Linked DNA regions of Tribolium castaneum. The protein of the gene in region 2 interacts with the protein of the main gene of each other region in a pairwise test. Links are inferred from orthologs where the notes say so. Each region holds a gene or a part of one and is shown on either strand. Other genes may lie near its edges.

Region 1 (4,241 bases), on a different chromosome or scaffold from region 2:
TGGTTTTTGAAGCCACACGAGAATGGCAACTGATGCCGTTTTGGTGATGGGATGAAATTCCACGCAAAAAACGGTACTCTGGGAAAATTCCTCACCGAAATGTGAAAAAAACCATTGTAATTTTTGTCTAACAATAACATATCAGCGACTGGAAAAATATTTACAATTACAATATCGAAGTTGAAGAAGAATCTGATACTAATATTTTTATTAAAAAAACACTATTTTAATAATAATTTCGTCCTTAAAAGTACAAACCTAGGAATTTATTTTAATTGTCAGCCACATTAGTGATTTGGGTTATAATCTGTCACAGAAATTATTTTAGCTACTTTTCACAATTTTCGCATATCTTTACGGGTATTTAATTTTTTTGCAAATTGAACTAAACTAGCAATAAATTAAAGCGCGTTTTCCAAAAGATTGCAATTTTTTTCATATTGTATACGCAAAGGATAATTTAAATTAGGAAAAAAAAACGATTGGAAACTTATACCGACACTAGATCTAATTCTAAGATCTAAGATTTAAATAAATAAAAATGCACACTATTGCAAAAATTAAACTAAATTTAAAAAATTAAGCCAGAAAATATACATGTTTCAATTGAAACCAAAAACACAAAAGCCAGCATTCCATGAAAACCTTTTTTCATTTTGACTCTTTATAAAATTTTCGTGTTTTTTTGTTAAGAAAAAACTAAAAATGGGAATAAGAAAATTAATTTTTTTCTTATAAAATAATGTTCATTGGTTGCACAGCATTGCAAAATACTTGTACCTATAACTCCCTTGGAAACGTATAAACACACTGTATGTACAAGATTTCTGCCTTCAAAAGCACTAACAAGTTAAGAAGATTCAAAATATAAGAATAACATAAACTCTGAAAGAATGGTTTTTAATTAACTGATAAATTCCTTAAGGAAGAATAAGGATAATTGTTTTCTTGTTCCTTCGCCCCTTCTTGAATATTTTTTAAAAATTAAGGCCCTTTTTATTACTCTGTAATCATTTATGAAGGATGTACCGAGCAAATATTAGATTAACCATTAATTAAGCTTTAAAAAAATGTTTTAAACGTTTCTTAGTGAGTTTATTAGCCACCAAAAGTTACCCTAAAAATATTGTCTTTAAAAATACCTATCCAACTTTTATAAAATTTGGCATGCAGTGGTTTTTTTAATAATCATTTAACAGTGAAAATTGTAATCAATTTATTTGTAAAGTGAAACCTCTGAAAAACGGACACCTCTCCACAACGGACAATTAAAAATTCCCCATCGGTGTCCGTTGTTCAGAGGTTTTACTGTAATGCGTCATCTATGGTTAAAATATTTATACACTTACTCCTAAGACATCTATTCTATTATTATTATTATTTATTTATATTTATATTTTTTTATTATTTATTATTATTTCAATTATTAAAAAAAAGTGAATACATATCGCTTGAGGGTTTGGCTATACAACAAATTGATTTGTAAAATCGCTAATATTTGTTAAATAAATTAACATTTTCTATTTTTGATCGTATTAACTTAAACTAATTATTTACTGCTAACACGGCAAGCAATTTTTGAGTCTAGATTCTGGGATTTATGCTTTTGGTATGCAAAAAAAAAACACATTGGACTCGCCTCTTGTTTTTCTTTGGTCAATTAATGAAATTTTAATTTAGTACATTTAAAAAAAATGCGCGTAAATTTGAGCGTACGACGAAATAATATCATCTCAATATTTCAAAATATTTACAAAATCGTAATTTATTATTATTGCCACAAATGAATTGTTCATAGGTGACAGAACAATAAATCCGCCTCCTACTATGACTCAAACGATAACTGAATGAGTAAACTTTGTAGGAAGTAAGTGTAACACGAAAATTTCGCTCAAAAGCAAATAACATGTATAGAGATAACGCAGAGCGATAACTCAAACATTTGATTGATTTTTTACAAGACCATCAAACTGCAATTATTGCAATCAGGTGTAAAGGCCGTTTAATGCAATAGTTGTGTCGACCAATCTTAGATAAAGGCTTTTGTTTGAAATTTTGTTTACACTCAAGTTAGGCATTATTACTACTAAAACCCCACCCTACCGACTGCGCCAATTAAGCTTGTGTAACAAAAATTTAAAAAAATCCGAAATTATTCTACTTATTGTTGTTCCGACTTTTGGTTTTGTGCCTTTTTGACCTTTAATAACGCACTCGCACCTGTTCATAGAGCATGAGAAAAGTTTTCAAATAACAACCCACTTTGTTTTGGTGTAGACTTTTTGTCAGTTGGACTGTGAAGGTAAAAACTCAAAATAGGAACGCGTTTTGATTGTTTACTCCTCCCACACTTTTAACCGCATTACTTTGTAAAGCCGTAATTTTATTATGTGATTAAAAAAGCGCTCGGATGAAATAATCCGTGTCCATCCATGCGAGAGGCGCGTTAATCTGTGATGGGCACGACTCATTATAAAGAAATTTCACTGTAAATCGGCGTCAGTGTAAATTGAAGCAATGCTCTGATCGCTGACACAGTTCCTTGGAATTTGGGCAAATAAGCGCGCGTTCTGTGAAAGAATCCTCACCATGTGCCGAAAGAAAAATCCGAAAAACCGTCCCTCCGCAGCCCCATTCCGGCGCAATTCCCAATTCGGGTGAATTCACAACACAGAGCACCCACAGGCACCACACACGTGCTTTCGCAGAGCCAGAGAGCGCCGTCTCTATCAACCGGCAAAGGTGTTCTTCGACTAAATTCCCTATTTCAACTCTGGAGCGGTCAGGTACACTCCGCGGCAAAACATCGCTGGAATGCGCCCGCCCAGTCCGGTTCTGCGCGCGGAAGCGGCCCGTTCGGGGGGCACCTCCACGCGCTGCCAGGGCCGCTGGGCGGACACTCCGCGCAGCCAACTTAGTGGTACCGCGGCCCAGCGCGGACGCGGTACCACCGCGCCTTGGGACTGTACCCAGCTCAGGTGTGTTTGGTACCCGTCTAGAGGTTACATTCCTCGAGCAGCGCGGCATTCCTCATGGGAAATTGCCGATAGCCTCCTTCGGGGGGCGATCGCGTGGTGCGCTTACAGAAATTTTGGGATGGTTGCTTCCGAAATTTTTTGACCAACACCAAGCCCACGCGAAAAATGCGCACAGGAAAAAGCCCACAAACATAAATACCCAGAAGAAAAAAGCTCACAAAGAAAAAAGCCCACGTCGAAAAAACTCACACGGAAAAAGCTCACAGTAAAAAAAACAACCGAAAAAAGCTCACATCCTTGATTTTAAATTTTAAAACGTAATTAATTTTCAATTTATGAAGTAGGTATCTTTCTAACTTTACTTTTTATCACCTCTTGCTGAGGATGGTTTAATTAAATAATCCGAAACTAGTCGCCGGTTGAATCGCCTTTGTCATTAATTCCTATGTTATAAATAAAACTGAGTTGACATTGCCCAAAAAATGTTTGCACCAAATCAAAAATTTTCTAATTATTTAACAGATAGTGATAAGATAGATAGTGATAAGAATTAAAAAAAAATACACAAGTTCAGTTTTTCAACTACTTCAAATCATCGCTTTCTATTTTTGGTGGAAATGTTGTATACTTTCTGAAATATTTAGGGCCTTTTTATAGAAAGCTCAGTTAAAGTTAATTTCGCTGTTAGAAGTTAACAGAGCGAATGGACCAATCGGATTGGTTCAATTTGGTCACGTGACCAGTTAATCATGCATTAAATTAATGACGCTTTTAGAGAAGAAATTTTTTTCGAAAAAGTAGATAGGGTGCTATTTAACATTGTAAAACTGGGGACGGTCAGGGGCGGATCCTGAAAATAATTTGGAGGGGGGGGCTTCCAAAAATTTTTAGAATGGTGAAGCTATTGACTGTCGGTATGTTAAAAAATATTTAAATAAATTTGTATCAAAGTTAATCCCAAAAAACTTTTTAGCCAAAAAATGTTACAGTGCAAATTTATATATTTTTCTAAATAAAACACCCCATATTTTGCGCATTTCTGGATATACATAGTTGTTCAATATGTTTTTTACTAGTAGATTTTGCTTATTATTTAAAATGATTGACTAAAATACACTCTTTATTTTAAACTACAACATAAAATACAACAGCCATGCAATGTTAATTTACATACAATTGTTTAAGTTTAAATAATAAAATTTCTGGACGCAAAAAGTACTTGTAAGCAACTTCCTTTTTTTCAAGAATATCTATTTCTATAAT
Region 2 (4,161 bases):
TTTCGACTGTTAAATATTCGGGGAAATACTCGATTATTTAAATCAAGTTGACTTGATTTGGCATAATCAGCTTACATTAATCATATTATTTAAATATTAACAAAAAAAATGGATAATTTCGTAATAGTATTTTCAAAAATAGTAAATAGGTGAAGGTAATGTAAAAGAATTAGCAAAGTTTTCGTTGCAAAACTTGCTAAATAATAAGATTTCCACATTTTCATCTCTCAAGATAAACAGAAGAAAATCTTATTGAGTTGTTTTATTTTTGTCTAATCTTTATCGCAACTTATAGCGAAATTTAAAAAAAATCCCTACAAAGGTTATTGCTGCAGCAAATAAAAATTACAGGGGAAAACAAGTTTTTTTTTAAATTTGTATTTTACATTTGTCATCAACTGTTAACTACTGCTTTAAACTACTACTCTGTCTCTATTCAAGGAAAAAAACAGTGATTATCTGTTGTTATTATTACATTATTTCTCGTTTTTTTTTCTGAAATTATAAACGGCTAAATTCTGTGTATAAGTTGAACTAAATAAACTTGTTTTCTTGGAAAATGTGCCATTACTTTGCAAAATTTACCTATCAATGAAAAAAATCCGCACGTGTTTGATGAGCAATTTCGGTGTAAAATATTATAAAAACTGATGAATTATGAATCTAGCTTAATTAACTCAATTAATAAAATGTATCGTTTTTCAGAAACAAAATTTTGTAAGTTGTTTAAATCAAAATAATAATTGCAAAATTAGTCATATATTTTGTGATGAGAAACCAATAAATCTATCGATATAAAGTGCAAAACCTTAAAATATTATCTGTTAAACTTTTTAACCAGGTTATATCAAAGAAAATGTGGAAAACATTTTTTTTAATTTAATACGTTTCTACAATATAACTTTCTAAAATAATATTTATAAAAATATACAGAGTTTCTCTGTTATTATTAAAACATTTGTGAATCCGATTATACTCTATAAAAATATTTTGAAAAATGAAGACTGAGAGGAAGTAAAATCAAAACTTCAATAAAAACTCTTGAATGGACAAATGTCGTGCTTATATCGGCCAAAAAGTATTGAAATGAAAAAATTGCGTTCGGGGAAATACTCGATTTTCCAAAAATCAACAGATGAAAGTCACTAGATTTGGTGATATAGGTGGAGACACTTCTCGGAGGATACTGAAGGAACCTTCCCACTTATATAAAAGATAGGTAAACATCTCGTCTAACGTGTACTAATTAGAAAAAATATGATATTAGTTGTTACCATATTGCAAGATTTATTTATTAAAAAAACAGTGAAGAATTCTCATTCTCGTCCAAGAACATTCTCTTCGTAATCCGCGCCTGCGTACTAGACCCGGCAGACTCGCAACATTTGACTGTATTCAACATGGAGATTTTGATTACAAGAACATATAATTTCTAGATAAGTTCCAATTAAAGATGTGTAGTGTGTTTGGTCTTACGTGTGATTTGTAATAAATAAAATGTCTTCCAAGAGGTAAGTTTCGTAAATTGTCCAACAGTTCGCCCGCACGAGCCTTGTCAGTCTAAAAGTTAACCTATTTTTCTTATTTTTGAAGTCATCGAAAAGCTCGAATTAGCCCTCTAAGCCTTTGAATGTTTTAGTGAATTGAAGAAACTGTCTGAGGAGAGTTTGACTCGTCAGCCGGAGGAAGTTTTCGATATAATATGCAAGCTGGGGGAGGGATCTTACGGGAGTGTTTACAAAGCACTCCACAAGGAATCTGGCCAAGTATTAGCAATTAAACAAGTACCTGTGGATACCGATCTTCAAGAAATCATCAAAGAAATCTCAATCATGCAACAGTGCGACAGCCCCTACGTCGTTAAGTATTACGGGAGTTATTTCAAGAACACTGATCTGTGGATTGTCATGGAGTACTGTGGGGCCGGCTCCGTCTCCGACATCATGAGGCTGCGCAAAAAGACCCTCACGGAGGACGAGATCGCCACGATTTTGTCCGACACCCTCAAAGGCCTAGAATACCTGCATTTGCGTCGGAAAATCCACCGGGATATTAAGGCCGGTAACATTTTACTCAATTCAGAGGGCCACGCGAAGTTGGCTGATTTCGGCGTTGCCGGGCAACTGACGGACACCATGGCGAAAAGAAACACTGTGATTGGTAGAACATAATCGCGCCACAATGGCCGCGTTTTTTCACGTTTTGTTACAGGAACCCCTTTTTGGATGGCTCCCGAAGTTATACAAGAAATAGGATACGACTGTGTTGCTGATATTTGGAGTTTAGGAATTACGGCCCTTGAGATGGCCGAGGGTAAACCACCCTATGGTGATATTCACCCCATGAGAGCAATATTCATGATCCCAACCAAGCCGCCCCCTTCGTTCCGGGAGCCTGACAAGTGGTCGCCCGAATTTATCGACTTTGTTAGCGTTTGTCTTGTTAAAAATCCCGAGGAAAGGGCGAGTGCCACTGATTTACTCAGTCATGTATTTATAGGTATTAGCACATTCCCGCAGTTCAAGTCACTCTAACCTTGTTTTAGGTAATGCTAAGCTCCCTAGTATTCTAAGCCAAATGATTCAAGAAGCACACGAAATTAGAGAAAACCAAAGTTATAGGAATGTATCCTCTGCTGCTAACATTGTAGGCGTTAGGCAGAACATCACTGAAGAATCAGTAAGTTTGACAACAAAAATTGAAACTTTTAACCGATTCTTCAACAGGATGATGAAGTAGCTTTAGGCAATCAGACTATTCTTCCTTGTACAGATGAAGGCACCTTGGTACCCGGCAAAGGTGGCACTTTACTGCCAGTATCACAGAGTGGTACTTTAGTAGAGCTTGGAACCATGGTTATCAACAGTGACGTTGACGAACAAACCATGAAACGTAAGTTCAATTAATTGCACACAAAGATCTTAAATTTATCTGATAAAAAAAATTGAGCGTGTGAGCATTTTAAAAACTAAATAATGACTCAATTAAAAGTAGCTTTTGGCTCTAAATCAATCATATTTTGTAATTTCATGTAAAAAATGTCTAAATTTATCGGTATAAAAGGTAAACTGTTAAAATATGTCCTGAAAATTGCTACTTTTTACAAAGGATTGAAATAACAGCCTGACCATTTTTTTGGACCAAGTTATACCAAGATGGTGAGATAAAGGTAGCAAAGAGCGCCACCTATCGGGGTTATACCAAATAAGAAAAAAGTGTTCCTCTTATTGATTAACCGGCAATCGGAAAATTAAACTTAATTTCAAAAATAATATTTGTGGAAACATACAAGTGTTTCTCTGTAATCTTTAAACATGAAACATATTTGGTAGCATTTTGCTTTTCCTAATTCGCCCACCACAAAATAAAACTAAATTGTAAGAGCTTTAATAGTGACAGTCACCGCCAAATTTCCTACGATTTTTGGAAATAAAACTGACTTATTTAATAATTTTATAACGTAAATATGGAATTGAATAACAGAAAACATTAGCAGCTTAATTATTATCTAATAAGGTAAGGTATTAATAAAACTTGGTAAGTCTGTAACAGTGTTCTTAAGAATAGTAAATAAGTAAAGGTAAGATAAAGTAGATCTACCAAAGTTTTCACTGCATTAACGTACGAAATAATGACTTCCACCTTTTCATTTTTCAAAATAAGCAGAAGAAAATCTAATTGAGATATGTTATTTTATTTTTGTCTAATCTTTATCGTAACTTATAACAAAATAAAAAAAAGGTTATTGGTTCAGCAAATGAAGTTTACAGGATATTTTTTTCAAAAGTTTTTATTTTACATTTGCCGTCTAGAGGAAAATTGACTGTTGAATGCTGTCTCTATTCAAGGAAAAAACGGAGATTATCAGTTATTATAACATTTCTCATGTTTTTTTTTGTTTTTTAGTGAAACTGTAAACGACTAAGTGGTATTTTAATAATGCAATAACAAAACTTCAATAACACAAAATAATTAGAACTTGATTTTTTTATTTTAAATCAATCGTATTTTGTAATTTTGTGTAAAAAAATATGAGCATTTATCGGTATAAACGACAAAATGTCAAAATATTTCTTAGAAATTGCTACTTCTTCTACTTCTACTTCTACTCTACTTCTACTTCTTCTACTTCGTAAATAAACGGATCGAAATAACCAAATA

Evidence for each region.
Region 1: the proteins of hpo (region 2) and ex interact in a two-hybrid assay, tested with the Drosophila melanogaster proteins (2 studies listed by BioGRID). The link is inferred for Tribolium castaneum from reciprocal best matches to the Drosophila melanogaster genes hpo and ex.

Annotation. Positions count from the first base shown.
Region 1 is NC_087395.1:21,723,527-21,727,767, reverse strand, and holds the start of ex (protein expanded), read right to left. Parts: upstream 2,809-4,241; 5' UTR 2,589-2,808; intron 1-2,588. UniProt on the Drosophila melanogaster protein: Activates the Hippo/SWH (Sav/Wts/Hpo) signaling pathway, a signaling pathway that plays a pivotal role in organ size control and tumor suppression by restricting proliferation and promoting apoptosis.
Region 2 is NC_087403.1:7,370,067-7,374,227, reverse strand, and holds the start of hpo (serine/threonine-protein kinase 3), read left to right. Parts: upstream 1-1,351; 5' UTR 1,352-1,497; coding exon 1,498-1,511; intron 1,512-1,639; coding exon 1,640-2,160; intron 2,161-2,211; coding exon 2,212-2,499; intron 2,500-2,545; coding exon 2,546-2,679; intron 2,680-2,726; coding exon 2,727-2,892; intron 2,893-4,161. UniProt on the Drosophila melanogaster protein: Plays a key role in the Hippo/SWH (Sav/Wts/Hpo) signaling pathway, a signaling pathway that plays a pivotal role in organ size control and tumor suppression by restricting proliferation and promoting apoptosis.